Oryzias latipes: one gene and its partners. The protein of the gene in region 4 purifies or fractionates together with the protein of the main gene of each other region. This does not show direct contact. Links are inferred from orthologs where the notes say so. Each region holds a gene or a part of one and is shown on either strand. Other genes may lie near its edges. The genes, in order: vps33a, vps39, vps41 and plekhm1.

Region 1 (6,126 bases), on a different chromosome or scaffold from region 4:
GTGGGTCTAGGAACTGGCTGCTGAAGCACTGGTCAGGAGTTCCCCGTTAATGCCTTCCCGTTTTGGCTCCAGGAAATAAGTACCACCAGATTATGGTTGACTGAAAAATCCCTCAGCGTTTTTAAATTAGCTGCAGCTGAAGATCTATGGCGATGTATTATATAGTTTGCAACATCTGAAATGATGACTCAAAACTCTGTCTGCAGGGGGAATCTGTCCATCGGAGATGCTTTTTGGCTGTTTGATATCTGACTCTCTTTTGTGCTTCTGATAAAGCGGCATGTACAACACCCTTGGGTGTTTTTAGGACACTGCAGTTGGCAGACGTGTCTGCTCCACAAAGCGCAACATGCTGAAAAAGGGCTTAGCTTGTAATAAAAATCCGTTTGAAGGTCCATCAATAAGATTTTTAGATGCAGTAAGATTTGGGTAATTACTCCAAAGCTTTAGTGTGGCCAAAACAAATGCACAGAGGTAATTATCATTACCTAAAAAGACATGCATGAAACTAAAGAAATGAATCTTTTAGAGAGAGTAGGGTTTTCTCAATACATCAGGGTTCTGTTTTTGAATTTTAACTATGTTCCCTTTATTGGGAATTTTGTTAAAACGCTGCATTAATTACCTTTGTCTTTTCCAATATGCCACACTGCTTAGGCAGCCCTAATCACCAGTTTTAGAGAGCCTTGAGAAACAATTCTCCTCCTTGATCATTTCAGGATAAAGCCACTCCCTTCCATTAAAGCTCTGTCACAGCAAACACAATCTGACTGTGGAGCAGAATTTTATCAGAAACACCTGCAGATTTACCGAGTCCAAGTTTAAACCTCCATGCCCGGATTATGAGGAATACAAATGAACACGGAGATGTGCACCTTTGACATCTGTGGCCATGGAAACAGAACAATCAATAGCTAAGAATTTAAGTGATCAAACACTTTGTGTGAGCATATGCGGACCAGGTCAGCGTTGCTGCTCACATAGTTGAAAAGCCAGTATGCTTTGAGAGGAAGAATGGCAAAAGACCTGGGATTATGGGTATGGTTGCCTAGCATTAAATAATGCAGTCAGTGTGAAAAGCACTTACTTTATTCCTCCATGTTTTTTCCACGTTTTCTGTCAGCAACCATGTTTCTTCTAAGGCTTTGTGTGTTCAGACCTAACAACCATTTTATTCATTTGCACAAAGAAATCCAGAGACAAAAAAGGGGGGGGGGGGGTGGCAGAATGAGGGTGTCGTCCAGTCACTTTAACGTGGTTGCTTTCTTGAGAGGCACAGCTCTAGATGTTACACTTCATTCTGTCTCAGCTGAATTCCCATCTCTCAGGTCTGCAGAGGGATTTAATGAACCTAAGGTTGTTGGAGTTTTTTTTTTTTTGCTACCCCTCAACAAAATTCCCTATACATGTACATATGTAGCAAACGGATTTGGTCCACTGATACCCTTTAGTGCAAGAAGACTTGATAACATCACAAGTTGACCACTGAATTGTCTGTGCAATGGCAGAGCTGGGCTAGAGGGCTGCCCTGCCCACACCAGAATCTTTAGGCATCACTAATGTCTTTACATCATAATCTGTATGTGAATCAAGCTCCATCATGTTCCCCTGCAGCAAAGCCATGAGACTGCAGCCACACAATCCTCCAAACAACTGACCAGGTTTTCTTCTTTATATCCCATGTCCAACAAGCCTTGAAGGGGATTTAAAGATTCGCCACACCATCAGGGGTTACAATAATTGATCATTCGAGACTTGAACCATGATAGAAAAACCATGCAACCTTTCTAAAATGCATGACTCACCACCACTGAATGACTGCTTTTAGTGGGGCTTTTACAACAATCAAACGCATTAGTAGTTGATCAGCTTCTTCTGGCTGTGCACATGCAGACTAACCTTCCCTTCTCAGTCAAATCAGTAACTGGCTGATGAAGACAATAAAAATGTGCTCCACCAAATAAATACGGGCTGTGAGGTACGTTCCCTCCAAAGAGATGATCCACGGGGCTTCTCTCCTGAATGAAGGGCTGCATTCATTCAACTTGTATGTGGAGGGGGAAAAAAATATTATAATCATGCACTGACTCACCGGGCAAACGCATCAACCTCAAAGCAATTTTAGTATGTAGATACGGTGTTTGAAGGGGGGCAAAAAGAAGATCGGAAACCCTACCAGAGGATCCAGTCCCTTTTTCTCTCTCTGGATGCTGTTAGAAAAAGATGCGGAGTTTGTGCAGCGCCTGCTGAATCTCATCAAAGTAAGTCATTGCGCATGGTCGTGCCTGTCACCAAATCGCGTCTTTTTTCCCTTCTTTTTTTTGTGGGTCTGGAGGGGCTATCAGAGCACAGAGCGCAGCGGATCACTATACGATGCGTGGAAACTGCTCTTCCATCCTGCGTGGAAGATGGAAAGCCCTTGGTGCCGTGGGAAGGAAACCCCTCGATCTGAAGTAATAACAAGTGGGCTGTTATCACCTGATCCAGTTGTCTATAGAACCTAAATTTATCTCCACCCAGGCAGCCTTGTGAAGGCAAACCTAGAATGATTAGTTTTTTGTGGTCGTTTTTTTAACCTAATTTTTTCTAAAGAATAATATTGGTGTCTTTGTATTTGTTTACTTTTCGATTAAATTGCATATTAAACACTATTATCACTAAAAGCTTAGACACTTTCTTCTTGTCAATGAACATTATCATGTTCCATGTGATATAAAAAATATGGGCTGTTTGCTCTCTGTGCGAACAAAAATACAATATTTCTTTGTTTTTCATTTATAAACAGGGCAGGTACCCGAGACAAATTCTCACATAATAGCGGGCTGCGCTCGATTGGAGCTGCATTTGGGTGCTTTGCTATGTCGGAGACACAGCGCCATCTAACGGCTTTGTTGTCCATTTGTTCACAGAAACACTTGAATCTATCTTCTATTGTTTTCTCCGACGCTTATTTCATTACATTATAATTTAAAAAATGACAAATATCGTAAAGAAACGCCACATTTCAAAATGTGGCGTTTAAATCTGTCGAGTCAACATTTTAATCAGGTTTCGATGCACACTGCCCCACCTAAATGTAGTAAAAGATGGCCAACGACTTGGGCTAAACCATTTCCTGTTTCGTTTATTTAAATATATTAAGTCGTTGTAGCACTATGTCTATGTGTTAATATTCCACAAAATGTATTTTTTGTTTAATTATTTTCTCTCCTTTTTCGTTTTTTAATTATGTGACTTATTTTTGTTCGTTTCCATTGTTTTTAGTCAGAATTCTCTTGTCACCGTAACCTCTTTTGTCACGTGATCCAGTCTTCCTTCCGGAATGGGTCACCTGACTTGTTGCTGATGAGGAAAGATGGCTGCTCATCTGTCTTACGGAAAAGTGAATTTAAACATTTTAAGGGAAGCTGCGAGGAAAGACCTGCGGGAATTTCTGGACAAGTGTGCAGGAAGCAAAGTAAGAAGTCGACTTATTGCGCATTGCATGACCTTAAACTACTGTATTTGTATCGAATTATCTTCTTTCAATCACAGCTTAAACGTTTTCATCAAAATGATAATTTCAGTTTAGCCAATACATAAAATATATAATACATGCTTTGTATGCCTATCTTGAGTTGAATAATCTATCATTTATATATTTGCAATTGAATGTATTACGTGTGTGATGTTAGAGTTATAATTATATGTTCTTTAGGCCATAGTTTGGGATGAGTATCTTACTGGGCCTTTTGGACTCATAGCTCAGTACTCTCTTCTAAAGGTAAGGACGGTCTCAGCAAACGTTTTGGATAGAATGATCTAATGTGGGTGTTTTTAACAGCTCTTGTCTTTTTTCCTGCTATTTCTTTAGGAACATGAGGTGGAAAAGATGTTCACCCTCAAGAGTGGGAAACTTCCCAATGCTGATGTGAAGAACATAATCTTCTTCGTCCGTCCCAGGCTGGAGTTGATGGACATAATTGCAAAGAATGTTCAGAGGTATGTCATGAGTTTCATCATTACGCTCCACAAAGTAACCAAACTGGACAAGATCCCCACTTCCTCCTTTCGCTTGTGCGTTCTGAGGATTGTTCTGGATTGTGCTCTTTTCAGTGAGGACAGACTGCATTCATCCAGAGACTTTCACATTTTGTTTGTGCCTCGGAGGAGCATGCTCTGTGAGCAGAGACTGAAGGACCAAGGCGTGCTAGGTTCTTTTATCAACATGGATGAGTATATCCTGGACCTGATTCCCTATGATGGGGATCTGCTGTCCATGGAGTATGAAAGTGCTTTCAGGGTGAGTTTAACCCTTATGTGGTGTTCGGGTCTGTGGGACCCGTTTTCATTTTTTATCAAAAGAAAAATGATACAATTACCGTAATTAATTTTTCAAACTCAGACTCACTGGCCTTGGCTCATTTTCTGTGAAGAACATATATTAGAATACATTTTTAATGACAACACACTGTATACCCCCCCAACACATTTCTATTACATATAAGATGTTCGGGTCCACTGGACCCGGGGCCAATAGAGGTGTGGAAATTGATGTTTTATGTACCTACACTCTGTCCTCCACCTGTCTGGGCCTGCTGTGTGTGTGTGGGTGTGTGTGGGGGTGTGTGTAGGTGTGTGTGTGTGTGTGTGTGTGTGTGTGTGTGTGTGTGTGTGTGTGTGTGTGTGTGACCAGTGAGAAAGAGAGAGAGAGAGTGGCAGAGAGAGAAAGATTCACTGTAAATGTGAGTTCTGTTTCTGCACCTGCGGTTCCTGCTAAAGGTTGCAACATTGTTAGAATAATTCAAGCATCAACTCTGTTTGCTCTCGTTCTCCCGCACATTTGACCATTTGACTTTCTTGCGGGAATCTTTAATATCTCGCTCGTTATCTGCTACAAATTGGAGGCGGGACACGTTAAATATAGCTTTGCCAGTGTGGTTTCTCATCACAACTGATCAAAATGGCCAATAGACTTTCTGCGCAGAGGGCCCTGGAATTGATTTTAGAAGAGAGAGACGTTTTTGATGATGATGTATAGGGAGACGATTCAGAAGAGGAGGTTTCAGAATTAGAGGATCACATTTCTGAAAATTCAGAGTCTGACAGTGACTCTGAAGAAGATGATTAGATTGGGGCGGCCGTGGAGCAGCGGTAGGGCGGTAGGCCCATGATCGTAAGATTGCAGGTTCAATTCCCGCCTTGCACACCCATGAGTCGAAGTGTCCTTGGGCAAGACACTGAACCCCACCTTGCCTCTGGTGGTAGGCGGGCGCCTGTGCTTGGCAGCGGAGCCGCCACGTGTGTGTGACTGGGTGAATGGGTCTGTGACTGTAAAGCGCTTTGTCCTTGGAGGAAGAAAGGCGCTATATAAGTATACGCAATTTACCATTTACCATTTAGATTGAGCATCAGCCAGTTCCAAAACGAAGCCATCAGCACCCAGCCACAGGACCAGGCCGTCAGCAGCCAGGACCATGTGTTGTACAGGCTAGTGGCTAGAAGGCCATGTCTTCAATGGGGCTGATGTGTTGTCTTGACTAATAGGTTTACTCTATGTGTTCAGCTTGTGTTGTGCACCTGAATGGGTTCAGTTTCTGTGTTCAAATAAATAAAAGTCAGTAGTTTTGAAAACCCTTGCTTCACTTGAAAATTTGTTTCCACTCATATCTTGATTTTAATTGATTTTCTTTATCACGTTTTAAATGAGTTATGAATGTGATCTAACAAAGGTAAAAGGCAAATATTAACCAAATATACTGATTGTAATTGGATGAGGTAAACATCCTTCGAGTATTTTAACATCAAAGTGTTTGATTGTGAGGCATTAAAAACCACAACATGCAACGGGTCCACCAGACCCACGAACACTGGCTGAGTAACAACAATATGAACACCACACAAGGGTTAAGCAGTGCACTACATTATATGCAGCAACAAAAGTGGAAACACCTCTTTCTGGTGGTTTAGGTTGACTTGTGTCATTAAAGTAGCACCGGCATGGTGAAGGACTGATGCACAACAGGATCAGCTTTAAAGACCCACTCCAATGAAATTTGTTTTTGGTGTTTTTGATATGATCTTGTAGTATTTTGCTCGTACTGGAGGACATATATAAAGAAAATTAATATTAAACTGTGTTTAAGG
Region 2 (5,508 bases), on a different chromosome or scaffold from region 4:
AGAAACGTGGAGACGCACCTTCAGGCCGTCTTCTGGTGAAAGTTTCAGCACCCATGGAGAAAACTCAAAGACGATGCCCAGGTTCTCCACCCCTGTGGCGAATGGGGGCGGGGTTAATGAGTCACATAGAGTTTCAAATGATTCAGTTAAGGTGTTAGAGTCAGAAAGTCACCCAGCCTCTGCAGGTACTGCACGGTGCGCTCGTGGCCCTTCAGGGGGGAGTTGGCCTTGGTGGACTGGTCCAGAAGAACCTGCAGAGCTGCCAGAGAGAACATGGGGGGGGGGGACAAATGTCACTCCAAACGTCACAGTTGAGCTTCATCAACGTTGCCTTGGCAGCAGGTTGTTCTGTGGACACTCCTGCAACCATCCGGAAGAAGCGGAGCCTCAAGCCTGATTGGAGGAAAAACCTCTGATTCCGGTCTGTGATTGGACTACAGCGCCCCCTGCCTGCAGAGACTGCAACAGCCGGCTCCATGTCAGCCATTTATACAGAAGCAGGGAAGATTTGGACTTCACCAAAAAGAAAGATGCAGACCTGAGAGTCAATGTGTCACCAAGAACACGATCAGAGTCTGATCTGCATCCAGATGCTGATCAAACATCTGGATCTACACTCTTTACATTCAGCTCCTTCTTTTCTCTTTAATGAGTCTACAACACATCTGCATGAACGCAGGACAAACTGCACATCTGCAGTGGCGTTTCTGTGTCGGATCCAGCCAATCACGTCTGCTCTGCAGGTTTTGAGACTCTGTCACATCTAAACATCGCTGCACGTTCTCTGTGGAGCACTGAGGGTCTGGAGGAGGAGGAACTCGGGTTTTTAACCCTTTTCCTGCGTCTGTCTGCCTCCCTCATGACTCCTCCCTTCGTTGCCTCAGTGACGCAGAGAAACCAACTCCAGACAGGAGAAGCGGCTTCCAGCGGCGCTCTGACCTTTCCGGTGCAGGCCCTTCTTCTCGTACAGAATGATCAGCTCGCTGTACTTGTGCGCCTTCTTCAGGATGTACTCGCTCTCCTCGATGTGGCAGTGGTTGTTCTCCAAGCGCAGCAGGGGGGAGACGAGGGCCACGTTGGTCTAAGCGAGGAAGGACAACATCAAAGGTTTATTTTCGTCATCATCGGCGCTGAGATTCTCCTACAACATTCTTCATTGGTTTAAAAGCACAATTTAAAAAATGACTCATTTCTTCACAAATCTTTTCCATTCAAAGCAAATGGTTTTCCAAAATGCCTCCTGTTTATCCCTTTGACAGCGAAGCTTTAGCTGCAGTGTTTCTACCCTTTCCACTGCCGTAAATCTACAACCGTTTACTTCACGTGATTCCAGCGGATTCTAAAGCCGTAAAGCGGATTCGCTTTGCGTCAGTGAAGTGTTTCCACAATCAATCAGCTGCTCCTGCTGCAGAAAAAGCAGCTTTGCATCGTCACACGACACAATACTAACATAAAGTGTCTGAAATGTAAAGCTGCGTTTGTCTGCGCCTGAATCAGCTGCTCGGTTGAGGAGTCAAAGATGGTGTGTTATTCAGGTGTCACTCGCCAGCTACATCTACAGTGTTTAGGGTCAAAATCTCAGACTGCAGTGACTCGGCCGGGCCACAGGGGGCAGTGAGGAGCAGCATGGGGGGTAATGTCAACATTTTTTGATGCAATTCTTGTGTGTTTTGTTGCGCAACAGCAAGAGTTCATCCCCCCGCCTCTGCCTGTGAAAGACAATAGTGGCCGACAGGCTCTGCAGTGGATGCAGTTTATTTTTTAGTTACTATTAAGTTTGTGCGTATGAATAAAATTGATAAAATGATTCAAAAATCTTTCCTAATGTAGCATAATTTTGCACATGTTTTTAACTTTTGATACTTGATGAAATTTTGCTATGAAAACTCCTGAAACAGTGTTGTGTCTATTTTACTGGTATAGTATTATGTTTTAAAGCATATGAATGACTTTTAAAAGTAACATAATTTGCATATATTTCAGATGCTGCATTTGCCATGTTGATTTCTAAAGTTATTTTTGACGTAGTACTTAAGTAATTTCATCTTTGGCATCTGCTTTATTGATACCTTATGATTATTAATTCTGTCTGATAAAACCTAGGAACCGGATATTGATAAATCATGTAATAAAATGGTTATAGTATAACGGGGTGGGATTATATAAGTTCGCTTCTTTCCACTCCCTTTCAAGCAATTTTTATTAATTATGTCTAATTATCCTAAGTTTGATTAGTTACTGTATGAATGTATAACTGATGATTATATTGCTTTTGTGTGTATTACTCCTATTTGATTGCTTGAAATAAACCATTTCAAATCAAATCAAATCAAAATGTTTCACATTTCTGTTTGTACCAAGCAGCGTAAGCATGGATCTGTATGTTTGTGTGTGTGTGGATAATGGTGGGGTGGGGGGTGTTGGGGGCGGAGCTTCTCCCAACAGTTAGGGCCGGTAGCCTTAAAATGACTCATCTCAGGTCAACTGTGAACCAAAGACGTGTCCCTCACATGCAAGTAACACTTCAGTAGGGTGGTGTCAATGATCTGCAGCAGCTTTTTGCGGCTTTTGATGGTGGGCGTGCCCTCCATGAGCGGCGACGTGGTGGACGGGTCGGAGTCGTTCAGCTGCTTGACCAGGTGACTTCGTTTCTGCAGCAGAGAGGTTGGGATGTCAGAGGGTGGTGTCACGCGGCCGTTTTCAGGAGGTGGACGGATTCGCACCTGCGTGAGGTAATCGATCAGAGCCAGGTGAGCCTTCTCCAGCTCCGGCCCGGAAAGGCTGGGGACCGGGTTGGGGTAGTGCAGCTGCCGGCGGTAATCAGACGGCAGTAACTCTGGGTACAGTCCGATCACATGGGTGGGATCTGCCAAACGAGGAGAGGATTTCTACAACACACCTCACGGAGCATTTTAAGAACAAGAACAAAACATTTCCCCAAAAAGTAAACGAGAAAATGTTAGATCAGTTAAAAAAATATTTAATAAACCCTCAAAGACTGAAGTGTGCTTAAAGCCTGCAGACTCACTGGTTTAGTGTAAAACTGTCCTGGCTCACCAGGAAGAAAAGAACTTTTCATTGTCCTTTTAAATAAATTCTCCTTTTAGTTTGGTGGGGCGTGGCTGCAGGGCTTGATTACAAAGAAAAGCAGAATCTGGAGCAGCAGAGCTAAAGATCTCTCATCATATATCAGATTTTGTCTCATCAAACTTCTTCTCCTTTAGGTTGAGCTGAGGGCAGAGACTGGACCCCCGTGGTGGTCCCTGCAGACGCCTTTGCTTCAGTTTATTGACTTTGTGGGACGTTTTTTTGGTGTTGGGGTGATAAAGAGGCGAATGCTCCAATGTCAGTAAAGTTTAGAGAAGAAGAGAAACTCTGAAGAACAGCTGTGCTGTTCTTCAGAGTTTCTCTTCTTCTCTAAACTTTAGCTTCTGCTTTACTAACATTGCAGCATCACCTCTTTTCTTTGCTGCTCTAACCCTTGTGCTATCCTGGACACTTTAACATTGGGAGTTGGGTCATCTAGACCCACTGGACAGTGCTCTGAACCTTTTTTCTTCAATGATTTGTGATCTTCACTGGTGTCCATGGATTACATGAAATCTTTCCACCTTTATCCACCTTTGTCATGGTAGGGAGAACACGTCAATGTAAGGGGGGGGGGGGGGGGTCATTTTGACCCCACAAGATAGCACAAGGGCTATTCTACTAGTCACTCCAGGACCCAAACATCCATCCTACCTGTGCCGAGTTTGGCAAACACCTGCATGGACTCGTCGAATCTTTTCTGGCAAAACAGGTTGAAGGCGTAAAGATTCTGGATGTGATGAATCTGCTGCTTCTTGTCTCCGTCAGAGTCGTCCTTCATCTTTCGACAACAGAAACAAAGAATGAACCGGAACATCCTGTTTGAAGATACGATGTCTGGATCGGGATCTCACCGCCAGCTGGAGAGCCAGCTCAAACTGCTTGTCCTGAAGAAGCTGCCGGATCTGGTTGGCTATCGGCACGGGAACCAGACGCCACACGAAGTGGTTGCTGGCTACATACACAACGTTGGGTCTAAAGAGATGAAACGACAGGCTGAGAACTGTTCTGACGAAGAAAAGTCTTACTCTGAAGGAACAAACATCAACAGGATTCAAAATAGTAAGAAAAATAACTAATTGGATTCCTAAAACTGAAAATAAAACCTAAACATTCGATGCCTGTTTACATATCACTACAGCAGGGGGGGGGGTCAAACTCACTGAGGGCCACATCAGCATAGTGTCTGTCCTGAAAGGGCCAGATATAATTTATACATGTAACTAAATGTAGTGAATAATAAATATACCCACTCCTTAATGTTAAATAACTAATTATTTATTTATTATAACTTTTTAAAGTGACAATTACAGTTGCATATAAAACATATGTTTGCTTGTTACTCAGTGTTTAAGCCCAATCCGATATTTCAAGTCAGATTCCCCCTGGATATGAAGAAATACACACCAATTTTTATTTTTTATTTTAAGAGATTACAAACTTTTATGCTGTCGTGGGCCACATAAAATGACATGGAGGGCCACATTTGGCCTGCAGGCCTTGAGTTTGACACCTGCACTACAGGGTCCACTCTGGGGTACAGCTACAAAATATCTGTGTAATCTGTAAGCTTTTAATGCCAATATAAAATTTAGCTCAAGTAAACTAAAGGACAACAAGAACATAAGCAGTCAAAAGGAGCTCCAACGACCCATAAGAGCCCCAACAACCAGCAGGAGCCCCAACGACCCGCAGGAGCCCCAACGACCCGCAAGAGCCCCAACAACCAGCAGGAGCCCCAACGACCCGCAGGAGCCCCAACGACCCGCAAGAGCCCCAACAACCAGCAGGAGCCCCAACGACCAGCAGGAGCCCCAACGACCCGCAGGAGCCCCAACGACCCGCAGGAGCCCCAACGACCAGCTGGAGCCCCAACGACCAGCTGGAGCCCCAACGACCCGCAGGAGCCCCAACGACCCGCAAGAGCCCCAACGACCCGCAAGAGCCCCAACGACCCGCAAGAGCCCCAACGACCAGCAGGAGCCCCAACGACCAGCAGGAGCCCCAACGACCAGCAGGAGCCCCAACGACCCGCAGGAGCCCCAACGACCAGCAGGAACCCCAACGACCCGCAAGAGCCCCAAAGACCCGCAAGAGCCCCAACAACCAGCAGGAGCCCCAACGACCAGCAGGAGCCCCAACGACCCGTAAGAGCCCCAACGACCCGCAGGAGCCCCAACGACCAGCAGGAGCCCCAACGACCAGCAGGAGCCCCAACGACCCGCAGGAGCCCCAACGACCCGCAAGAGCCCCAACGACCCGCAAGAGCCCCAACAACCAGCAGGAGCCCCAACGACCAGCAGGAGCCCCAACGACCAGCAGGAGCCCCAACGACCAGCAGGAGCCCCAACGACCCGCAGGAGCCCCAACGACCAGCAGGAACCCCAACGACCCGCAAGAGCCCCAAAGACCCGCAAGAGC
Region 3 (6,171 bases), on a different chromosome or scaffold from region 4:
TTAAAGCTTAAATATACCTTTTTAATTAAAATAACTGGTATTATCTGGTGTTATTTGGATTCATACCTTTATATGCTATTGGCTAAATAAAATGAGTTCTGTCATTGTATCAAGAAAGAGTATTTCTGCATAGAACCAATCTATTTTGAGAAGTGTTTACATGTATATGTGTAGGAGATACCCAAAAAAGGGACAAATTTTCATTACCTTGCATGAAAGGCCTAAAACAACAATTTTTCATCTTTTCTCAATGCCGTTTATCCCCAGTGAGACGCGTGAATTTATTGTTTTCATAAAGCAAACTTAAAGTATTCTACTGTGTTACACTTTCCAGCATGAGTCAACATTTGCAGCCAGTCACAGCCTGAATATTACTCATAATTCGGTTTATAACCAATACTGCACAGTCTGTGGCTGCCCAGAGGGTGCATCAACTCAAAACATTGTCTGCCATTATGTGCTACTGGGTTGGAGGTGGGGGACAATAGCGTGGAAAAAATGTTATTTTCAAAAACAATCCTTTCCCACTCAACAACGCCATATCTAGGCTATTTCCTGTGTATTCTGGTTGTGAGATTTCTGATGCGAGGGCATTTGTCACGGATTTCAAAGGCGTATCAAACAACAAAGGCAAACTTCATCCCCACAGAGAAAATCCCCATTTTAAAACTTTTCCCATCTCTTGTAAGTTGCCCTTTGTTTTCTCCACTGCCACACTGGCCTTTATCTTGAAGCCATTTATGCCATTTTTCTTGCCTATTGACAGTTTAAATACAACAGGTTGAACTATTCAGTCGGACTGCATCAAGGATAACATTCTGCAGAGCGCACAGAGACGACGCCGGTTGTCGCCATCTAGCAGGATAAGAAAAATAGGAATGTCCACTTCAACAAAAGCTTTTAAAACAAACGCGAATGAAAATTATGCTACACTAACGCAGCTGCCTTTGAGTTATACATGATGGCTATCCTTCAGAAGATACAAAGGACTTAATTCAATTTGAAAGGAAAATTAAAATCCCTTCAGCTATGAGGTTAACATCTTCAGTTCAATAGTTTTCTAATAATGACTGCCAACCTTTCTATTCAATTCAATTCAATTTTATTTGTATAGCCCAAATTCACAACAACAGTCGTCTCAATGGGCTCCGTATCGGTAATTGCAAAAGTGAAACATGAACTCAAAAGGATCATAAATACATAGAGTTCAATAGGAAAATACTAAAATGAACTAACAAACTGACTAAGCTATACTGGCATCCCTGCCCTTAGACCTTTTAGGAAAAACTCCTTAAAAAAAACGGATTCCGGAAAAAACAGAGAAACCTCAGGGGTCCCCACATGAAGGAGGGATCCTCCCCCAGGACGGATAGGCGATTTACCAGAACTCTTAGAGAAGAATTAACTTATCTAACTCTACAACCACATATATAAAGTCCAGCAGACGAGCTTCATCCAGCCGGAGTTGCTTTTTAAGTAATTTGCCCCTCATTTTGCAAGTGAATGGAAAAGCTTTGATCTGTAAAGGTTTTTTGTTGTAAATACATACTTAAAGGTGTGAGTTCTATAGAGAAAGCTGGATGCTGAGTGTGAGCATTTTTTTGAATGAATTTTAAAGAAAATAGTTTAATCAAACCAAATATTTTTGACTTTAACTGGTGTGTTATAGAATTTTTCCTTATTTTGTTTTTTTTTAAATAAAGATATATTTGCTTGTAGTACTGTACATGCAACATATAAGGTGAACTGGTCAATAACCTGAACAGCGCTGGGACCAGTAACAAATGTTACTATACACTCACTGGCCACTTTTTTAGGCACATCTGTCCAACGGCAAATCAGCCAATCACATGGCAGCACATCAATGCATTTAGACATATGTAGACATGGCTGCAGTCTAAACCAAACTGGGAAGAAAGGGGATTTAAGTGACTTTGAACAAGACATGGTGGTTGGTGCCAGACAAGCTGGTCTGAATATTTCAGAAACTGCTGATCTTCTGGGATTTTTACCCACAACTATCTCTAGGGTTTACAGAGAATGGTCCAAAAAAACAAAAAGAGATCCAGTGAGCAGTTCTGTGGGCAGAAATGCCTTGTTGGTGCCAGAGGTCAGAAGAGAATGGCCAGACTGATTCTAGCTGATAGAAAGGCAACAGGGTTCCAACTGAGGTCTGCAGAAGAGCATCTCTGAACACACAACACGTCCAACCTTGAGGCAGATGGGCTACAGCAGCAGAAGACCACACCGGGTTTCACTCATGTCAGGTAAGAACAGGAAACTGTCTGAGGCTACAACTCACACAGGCTCACCAAAACGTGACACTAGAAGATTGGAGAAACGTTGCCTGGGCTGAATAATTCTCCATTCCTGCGGCGACAATTGGATGGTAGGGTCAGAATTTGGCGTCAAAGCGGGAATCAATCCTGCCTTGTATCAACAGTTATGGCTGGTGGTGGTGTAATGGTGTGGGGAATATTTTTTTTGGACCCACAGTACCATTCTAGCATGGATACAAAGCCACAACGCTGAGTATTGTTGCTAACCATGTACATGCCTTTATGACTACATCTTCCAATGGCTACTTCCAGCAGGATAAGGCGCCCTTTCATAAAGGTGGAATCATCTCAGACTGGTTTCTTGAACATGACAATGAGGACTCTGTCCTGAAACAGCCTCCAAAAAGAATGTCAAAAATATAGACATTTTGTTTTCTAAAAGATTTATACATGTGTTTTTCACCCAACTTTTTTATGTGAGAATTCTGAAGATTCAAAGCAGCCCTTCTCTGAAATGTGTTAATTTATTTCTATTCTTAAAATGAAAAGGAAAGAATGTAGTCCTGTCCTGCTGTGATTGGCAGCTAATGCTTGTCTACCATAAACTTAAAGTAAGCTTCTTTATAACTTTGCAACACTTAAAAAATACTTCCACGTTCAAGTTGTTAAAAACAAAAACAAAAAGAAAAGAAGAAAACAGGAAATTGAAGCAGCGTTTAAGTTAAGTAAATAAAATAAGGAAAAAAAAACGGCACAAAATAATACAATTCTAAGCTTCTTACCTCAGACTCATCAGTACATTCCTCGCTTGGCTTTTTATCCTTAAAGAAGAATCACAATCAAAATGTTTGATCTTTAAATTCTCTAGTTTGAAAAATAAATAACAAGATCATTAAAACTAAAACAACCCCAAACCTTCGTTAAAATAAATTTTACACGAATTGTAGGTAACAATCAAAATCAGAATAAAAATCTCATAAATATTAACAAAACATTTGTCATTCTTTAAAAAAAACACGTATAAAACGATCATAAGCTAGCTAGCTTTAGCATGCTATCCTCACCTTTTCTTGCACTTCCGCCATTATGGTTCCAATAGCGATAAATTCCGAAAGCAGATGTTTTTGATCAGTGTCAATTGCAGAAACACATATTAAATTACGCACACAAACTATGTTTGTGGCAAAAGCACGTATAATAAGGCAGTAGAATGCGATGTTTACTGACGGAGCAGTCTTGTTGCTCACATGAATCACTGAATCACATGACTAATGCAAAAACCGCGAGGCAATCTGGGTATTGTAGTCAAACGTAACAGCGTTTGTTTCAAGCAAGGAGTTGAAGACGTCTGCTGCCAAAACGAGTGCAGCTGAAGTAGGTAGCATTAAAATAGTTTTATATGTTTCAAGTTCTCAGTTACCGAATATTGTCAGCCTTATAAGTTTAAAATTACTAATACTGAAAAAAAGGAGTTCTGGATAAAAATGTTCTGTCCGAGCTCAAAACACGTGTTAGGAATATAGTTTAATATACAATTATAAAAGCAAAAGTAGTCGTATTATATTATATTATATTGCTTTTTGTGCCTTATATGTAGGTCAAAAATAATTTTAATTTATTCTTTAAGCTTTTATGAGAACACATTTTTGACACAAGCCCATTGGCCCATTTGGTAGTTGCGGAAAAAAAAGAACAAAACAATAAGTAAACACAGTAAATATCATATTTCATATCCTATTTTCCGAAGAGAAACAGAGGATACAGGAAAGTAGGGAATATAGAGACATTTTTCATTCAATAGATGTGCCACATCATGTACTCCTACCTTATATGGAAGGAATAAATGGCTTTTTAAATGGTTAACATTAAATTACTGAAAAATATAAGACAGTTAAATTGCTTTACATTAAAAAAAACCTTTCCATTTCTGCTTAATCCATTTTAAGGATGTTTTGGGGTCTTTTGTTAAAAGCTAGGGAAAAGACGATACACGTTTAATCTAACTACTCATTTGTTGTGTACATTTGCAGACTTTTTCAACGTTAAAGTGCGCTCTTTTGTCACAATACTGACATTTCATAGTTCAGATGGATTCCAAAGGTTTGAGTTCCTTCTTTTTTATTGAGATTGTCTCACACCTCCGTCCTGCTTCATTCATCCTCAGGAGAATCCTAATGCACTGATACCAAACGGGGATCTCTTTTTTTTCTTTCTTTACAATCTGCTTACCAATGATTTATTGATTGCGGCTTCCACCCTCACAGAGAATTACCGATCCTTTTTGGGAAATCAGATTTTCACACCTTTCACTGGTGTGTATGTGGTCCAGGTCTCCAGAGACGGTGAAAGGGGGAAACTGACTTTGAGGAGCAGCTGTGTGTGAATCTCTGTGGTGTCACTCTGCTGCCAATGGTGCATCTAGCGGAAGGCCTCTGATTCTCCACATCTCTACACTTCCCTCTTTATAGTGCTGCATTATTTAGTGGTGGATAAATACGGCTTGGGCTTAATTCTATACGTGTCCATTCCCTTTGAAACCATTAAAACGCGGTCCACTAACCCTACAATCTTAAGCAAGCATGAGCTGCACTAAGATATAAGCATCTCATAGACAAAAAAAAAAGGCAAAATTACACAAACAACTCTTGCTTGCGTACGTGGAGCAAGATTAGTGCACCAGAAGCTTTGATGCTTGAGAATGTCAGCTCTGTGGATCGATTTAGCCAAAAACACACACACACCTGACCAATCAGAGGCTCTTGTCTGTTGTGGACCTGCTGCTGGGCACCATGGTTTACAAGCTTCAAAGAGCTCCTTTTAATACACTGCTTTGATAGCCTTCAGCCCTCACTGACCCACCGACCGTCCACTGGGGAGCATTTTAGCTTTAGCAGAGAGGAGAGGTAGGACTGTTGATCATATCAACAAGCTCAGGGAAAAAAATATATATATCTTTTTTAAGTTTTGCCTCAGCTTGCATTCACTTTTAAAAATTTACTTACACTAAATTTACTGCTTCACATAAAAGAGTAGAATAATTTGAAAAGAAAATAGGATTTTGTGATGCTTTCGTATGAGGAAAATGATTTATTTCTTTTAGAAAGATAACAGTTTGAGTTATAACCCTAAGGGGGAGACAAATTATTATCCAACAAACTACATTAGACATCCGTATCTCAGGGTGATCACTCAGTGCAACTAATTAATAAACATACATCATTTCATTGCTTTGAGATTATCCGTATTGGACTGTTGGATGAAAGGCTTATTGATGTAGTAGCAGATGCTCAGTAGTGACCTTTTAATCAGTCATTAAGTTTATCTTAAGGATTTTTTATGAAACCTGTAATTGAATATCCTTTAGCATAACATTTAAGTAAGTAGTGATGATATGCACGATTATACATAGCGTTCTCTTGTGCTAATCTACTCTTGTATTCTCATAATTTTTAAAAAATACACAGGAGTTTCAAAAATTCGAAGTCAAGAAGCTTTCAAATTCCAAAACTGCTATATTACATCGAAGTATAGAAAATATTTATATCACTTTTTATCGTAGTCCACTCTTTTATTGTAGGCCAGCTCAGTGGCCTTGTGGTTATAGAGTGTCTGCCCAGTAACTGGAAGGCCATGGGTTCAAACCCAAGACCTTAAAAATGGGACCCAATGCCTCCCAGCTTGACACTCAGCATTAAGGGGTTGGATTGGGGGGTTAAGCCACCAAATGGTTCCCAAGCACAGCTGTGTCCGCAGATCACCGCTCCCCCAGGGGATGGGTCAAATGTGGAGAACAAATTTCACACACCTAGATGTGTGACAGACAGTCAGACTTTATGGCACTAAAAAAGGTCTTACTGAGCTTCAGATTATTGCACTAATTACTAATAAAAGA
Region 4 (5,508 bases):
GGAGAGGAAAATCCAACCATCCATTTTCTGAACCCACTGGGTCCCTTCTGAAATAGTAAAGACCCACCCTCCAATCAATTTGGAGGGTGAGTCTTTACTATTTTGATCTGACCAGATTGATCAGTTTAAAAGCATTCCCACAGATTTTCAACTCCCTCCAAAGATTTTCTATGGGGCTGAGATGTGGAGACTAACTGGGCCACGCCAGGACCTTGAAATGCTTCTTACGAAGCCACTCCTTTGTTTCCCATGCAGTGTGTTTGGGATCGTTGTCAATTTGAAAGACCCAGCCATGTTTCATCTTCAATGCTGATGGAAGGAATTATTCACTCAAAATCTGATTATACATGGATCAGTCATCCTGTTCCCTTTGCTGAAAAACAGCCCCAAAGCAGGATGTTTCCATCTCCATCCTTTACAGTAGGGATGGTGTTCTTTGGATGCAACTCAGCATTCCTTATCCTCCAAACATGACAAGTAGAATTCTTACCAAAAAGTTCTGTTTTGGTTTCATCTGACGATAGGACATTCTCCCAAGTCTTTTCTGGATCATCCAAATGCTCTCTAGCAAATGTTAGACGGGCCTGCACAAGTACTGGCTTTAGCAGGGGGACACAGCTTGCACTGCAGGATTTGAGTCCCTGGCGCTGTAGTATGTTATTGGTGGTAGCCTTTATTACTGTGGTCCCTGGTCCCAGCTCTCTGCAGGTAAATCACTATGTCCCCCCGTGTGGTTCTGGGACTTTTGCTCCCCGTTTTTGTGATCATTTTGACCCCACGGGGGGAGATGCTGTGGGAAGCCCCAGATTGAGTTTTTAGTGATCTTATTAGTCTTCCTTTTCCTTTTAATTGCTCCCACAATTGATCTCTTCACACCAAGCTGCTTACTAGGGATGTCCCGTTTGACGTTCAGCGTGTTTCGGCACAATGTTTTGGGGTGTGTGTCAACTAGCGCCGATCACGTGGTTGATGACGTATGAAGCGCCAAATGCTTCGTTTGGTCGAACCACGGTTCAGATGTCTCTTACGTTTTGAACAGTTGGGCGCGCTATTCTCTAGAAATACAAATGAATCCCGAATGTTTCCCGACAAGTTCTATTGTTTCCCCAAGATTGGAATCAGTGTCAGTTCATTGCACTTTATCATGGCTCCTTGTAAATAACGTACTGTGGCTCGGGATCATTTCAACTCGATTTCTCCGAATATAACAATACACTATGATCATTGTGTATATAAAAATACTTCATTAAATCTATAATGGCAAGCTGAATTTGTGTCAGTAGAGATGGCTCAGGGGAACATTCGGTGGGGAATGCATCCAAGGGTCCTGAGTTCAAGACCGGTGTTTGACAATTTAATTTTTTATATTTTTTTGCTTTGCGTTTATTTTCTTCATGTGATGTGTATTTTGCTGTGTCAAGCACCTCACAGAAAACATCAAATGTTGTGTTGTTTTACGTTGTTTTTTTTCTAATCATCATTAACAACATTGTTTTGATTTACGTTTTTTCATCATTTCCACATTGAAGTGTTACAAGGAGCTTAGTTGAAACATATGTCTATGTACGTCCAGTCCGCCACCAGATGCCGCTGTTCTGTGTAGTTTCAAAGCCCTGAATCGGTGGTTCATTTTTCCAGCACAATTACATGAACCCCAAGGGAAGCTTCATGGGGCTTCAATTCCCATCCCTATTGCTTACCTATTGCAGATTCAGTCCTCCCAGCCTGGTGCAGGTCAACAATTTGGTTTTTGGTGTCCTTAGACAGCATGGTCTTGACCATAGCAGAGTTTGGAGTGTGACAGGTGTCTTTTATATACATAATGAGTTCAAACAGGTGCCATTAATACAGGGGGACTGGGGGACAGAGAAACCTCTTACAGAAGAAGTTAAAACACAGAAAACACAATTTTCATTGGAGTTGGGGTTGACTTTGCTGAACAGAAGACATATTACTGGTTTAATCTAAAATGTTGTTTTTGTTCAGGTGTCAAAGAGAGCCATGCGTGTTCTGACCCACATACATCATGAGCCTCTGCTGAACCTGGAGCTGCTAAACCCTGAGCTGGTGAAGCATTCAGAGTCCATGGCACAGGTCCACAACCTGCGCAACAGGTTGCGTCTGCTGGGTGATTATCTGCTCACCTGCCGCAGTGGAGCATACAAACATCTCCAAGACAGGTGGGTCTTTACTATTTTGATCTGACCAGATTGGGTTCAGCATTGGATTTTTTATTTTTTTTACCTGTAGTGTCAGTCCACATTTGTTTTGTTTTTTCTCTTCAGAACGGAGCAGCGCACATACCTGTTCGAGTCAAGTCACCTGTACAGTATCATGGATCTACGACAGGTAGTTAGGCTGCACCAACAAGTGCCAATAGGGCAACACTTGAAGGCTTTAACCTTTTTCTTTTCCTCCTAGATTGCAGAAGGCTACTATTCAAGCTTTCTGATCATGCTGGTGCAGCATGCCACTAAGCATGTGCTCAACTGTGACCTGTGCTCTCAGCGGGGCTTCATTTGCCAGATTTGTCACTCTGATGATATCCTCTTCCCCTTCCAGTTCGAAAGCACCTTGAGGTATGATAATCTGATCATTTTATCTTTTCTCATCATTTTATAATTCTGGTCCAAACTACAGATTAAACATAGATGGAGAACATGTTAGATATGGTGAAATGAGGGTTTTCTTTGAAGAATGTTCTGTAGCATGATCCATGAAATGACATTGATCCACATTTCCCTTAAAACCATTAACAAAACACCCGATGTGCTAAAATCATGAACTGAAACTGTATTTTACTTAAAATAACCATCCAAAACTTTAGTTGACAGGCTTTTTTCAATGTCCTGGAGTGTCTGCTGTTTTTTACCATAAATCATAAGTTGTTCTTAGACATTTTTATTTTTATAAAGTTTGATTCTTTACTTTTATAACAGTGAGAAAAGGATTGTTTTTGTGTTTTTGCTGTGAGTCATGCAATTTCCCTTATTCTTTTTTAATCAGGTGTAAAGATTGTAAAGCTGTATTCCACACCGCCTGCAAATCTGCGGGCCGCTCCTGTCCTCGCTGTCAGCGAATGAAGAAATACCTGGAGAGGGATCTGCAGGACTGAGAGCTCCAGCTCTTTAGCTGATGTGAAATCAGTTCCTGGCTTTAAAAAATAAAAATAAAAATCCATACACCTATTTAACCTAAAGTGCAATTATTAGTCCAATCAGCCTGCCCTGCCTGAAAAACATCAACTACGGCTCGAAAGCCTGAGTGCCACAGTAGCTCAGACCTTTGCACTAATTTAGAAGGAAACATTCTGATATAATGCAGCCAAAAGTTGCTAACAAGTGATGTTATTGCTTCAGTAACATCTGATTTAGCCACGGCTTCCAAACAAAGGGGGGACAAAGGCAAGCATGAACTTAATTTAAAACTTTTTGTACTTCATTTGGTGTCAAACAACACTCTACAAAAGCTCTATGATTGAGATTGTGCCTTTTTGATTTTTAGCTTTACTGTATTGTCTCATATGTCACAGTTGTTGGTTTAAAATGAAATGTAGCATTATTTGTTTTGTGGAATTATGATTTCGTGAATGTTTGGAATTGGGTATTGACACAGGAGAATAAATACTTTTCTCCTTGTGTCCTGCAGCATGATCCATGTAATTCTTGTGGTGCACTAACTGGGAACTTAAGTTCAGATAAATTAAAAACAAGATGTCTAAAACGTATTGGAAATATACAATTGGGAGTATTTGCAATGTTCAGCTCAAAGGAAGTAACACATTTTGCATATTTGCACTTGGTTCTGACTGTTAAATGAATGCTTCTGCCAGAATACATTTTAGCACATGATTCTAACTTGAAGAGAAGCTATTTGGTTTTCTGGTGGAAGACTTTTGTGCATCACTTTTTCCTTTATCTTGACAAATTTAAAAGGAATATAAATAATATCAATACATTTCTGGTCAAGGTGCCAAGAATAAAATTCTCTACATGTTTACTAAAAAAAAATCCTGAACATATTAAATTCAAGGGAAAAATCCTGAAATGCTGTTATATCTGGTTTGTATTTATTTAACTTCATCCTATTCATAAACTATTGTAAATTAAGTATGTTTGTGTTGTTTTGTTTTTTTCTTGTAGACAGAACTCCACTGCTGCTATCTCCATGAAATTGGATAAGACAGACTGTTGTATTAAAGTATAGCAACTCAAAACTGCTAGCAACACTTGAATAGAGCTAACAATGAAAGAATTATTGTATAAGTTTTCCAAATTGATAAATCAATAAGGTTTTTATTTTTCCTTCTAATAAATGTCAATACACTGAATCTTTTTTTTAAGAATTTGTAAATATCTAATACAACAAACTTTTGTTATAAATTTTAACATGAACAATTTTCAAGGTTACCATAGTAGAACCTTGTTTCTCGTTAAAAATCAAAAATTCTAGTGAATTAATGTCATAAAAATCCAGATTTTTGGAGATTCAAAATCTATTTTCAACCCAAACTCATACTTTCATATTATGGACTCCTAAACAGTTAATATTTAAATAAATAAATATGACCCTGTGCAAATACACAATCAACCAATATATCTCTCATAAATATATAAAAAAGGTCTTATAAAAAATCCCCCCCCTCCCAGAAAATGCCTCCTTGATCCTAGTAAAACATAGAGTAGTATGAAGGATACATACTGTTATGAATGGCTTAAAAGATTAAAGTTCAAATAATTATTGAAAAATAATGTACAACAAATGTGAACATATTTGACCGTCAACAATTTTCATGACATTACAAATAAAATAAAAAATGAAAACTTAAAAACTCTTCCAGTTTTAGTCATTAAAAAGTAACATTTTTGCAAACAGTATTGTAATTAAGTTTTTCTGTTGACCTATTATCAAGAACATTAGAACCACCACTAGAGGGCGCAACCCAGTTACGGGTACAACACAGAAGCACAACAAACTCAACTCCCAAAGAAAGTAAATATTGAAGTAACCTGCTTCTTGCTTTGGAATAACTAGTTTAAAGTTGAAGTTAAATCAAGAAAAGACTGAGCTGAACTGAACTGTGCACTTATTTAACTAGTGTGTAACAGGCTCACAATTATTGGGTCAAAGCCAATAATTGTGTTTGCACCAATATATTTTATCAAATAATGCATTTATCTTCTAACAAATCATCTAAAAAAACTGTGAAGCAAAAGGGTTCACTTTTATTTTGAAAAAATGTGCATATGATTGTCTCTAATTTAGTTTTTAAAAAATTCCCTAATTCAAGCTTTTGTTACGAAGAAAATGCAAAAGATATTAATCAAAATAATTGCTGAGATATAGAAATAATACTCAAGTTGAAAATTACAAATCTTACTTATTACTCAAAAGTTACTTCACTGATCACATAAATTACTTATTTATATAATTATAGGGTGATTTGCCATGAAAACCGCTGAAGGGAAAAGCCAAAAAGGGGGGAAAAATCCTCTCAGGAAAAAGAAG

What was found.
Region 1: the proteins of plekhm1 (region 4) and vps33a purify together in Homo sapiens (affinity purification with western blotting; 3 studies listed by BioGRID and IntAct, with this or other methods). This does not show direct contact. The link is inferred for Oryzias latipes from reciprocal best matches to the Homo sapiens genes PLEKHM1 and VPS33A.
Region 2: the proteins of plekhm1 (region 4) and vps39 purify together in Homo sapiens (co-immunoprecipitation; 3 studies listed by BioGRID and IntAct, with this or other methods). This does not show direct contact. The link is inferred for Oryzias latipes from reciprocal best matches to the Homo sapiens genes PLEKHM1 and VPS39.
Region 3: the proteins of plekhm1 (region 4) and vps41 purify together in Homo sapiens (affinity purification with western blotting; 4 studies listed by BioGRID and IntAct, with this or other methods). This does not show direct contact. The link is inferred for Oryzias latipes from reciprocal best matches to the Homo sapiens genes PLEKHM1 and VPS41.

The regions. Positions count from the first base shown.
Region 1 is NC_019867.2:18,255,694-18,261,819, forward strand, and holds the start of vps33a (vacuolar protein sorting-associated protein 33A), read left to right. Parts: upstream 1-2,257; 5' UTR 2,258-2,261; exon of another isoform or gene 2,262-2,434; intron 2,435-3,309; 5' UTR 3,310-3,355; coding exon 3,356-3,457; intron 3,458-3,697; coding exon 3,698-3,763; intron 3,764-3,853; coding exon 3,854-3,981; intron 3,982-4,095; coding exon 4,096-4,282; intron 4,283-6,126. Other genes in the region: rabphilin-3A, read right to left, coding at 2,177-2,257.
Region 2 is NC_019880.2:24,621,613-24,627,120, forward strand, and holds part of vps39 (vam6/Vps39-like protein), read right to left. Parts: intron 4,063-5,508; coding exon 3,942-4,062; intron 3,869-3,941; coding exon 3,742-3,868; intron 2,867-3,741; coding exon 2,724-2,866; intron 2,652-2,723; coding exon 2,511-2,651; intron 1,082-2,510; coding exon 940-1,081; intron 260-939; coding exon 173-259; intron 93-172; coding exon 19-92; intron 1-18. UniProt on the Homo sapiens protein: Regulator of TGF-beta/activin signaling, inhibiting SMAD3- and activating SMAD2-dependent transcription.
Region 3 is NC_019878.2:20,694,206-20,700,376, forward strand, and holds the start of vps41 (vacuolar protein sorting-associated protein 41 homolog), read right to left. Parts: upstream 3,548-6,171; 5' UTR 3,365-3,547; coding exon 3,344-3,364; intron 3,101-3,343; coding exon 3,062-3,100; intron 1-3,061. UniProt on the Homo sapiens protein: Plays a role in vesicle-mediated protein trafficking to lysosomal compartments including the endocytic membrane transport and autophagic pathways. Acts as a component of the HOPS endosomal tethering complex.
Region 4 is NC_019877.2:16,181,595-16,187,102, forward strand, and holds the end of plekhm1 (pleckstrin homology domain-containing family M member 1), read left to right. Parts: intron 1-1,986; coding exon 1,987-2,180; intron 2,181-2,285; coding exon 2,286-2,349; intron 2,350-2,421; coding exon 2,422-2,579; intron 2,580-3,006; coding exon 3,007-3,115; 3' UTR 3,116-4,109; downstream 4,110-5,508. UniProt on the Homo sapiens protein: Acts as a multivalent adapter protein that regulates Rab7-dependent and HOPS complex-dependent fusion events in the endolysosomal system and couples autophagic and the endocytic trafficking pathways.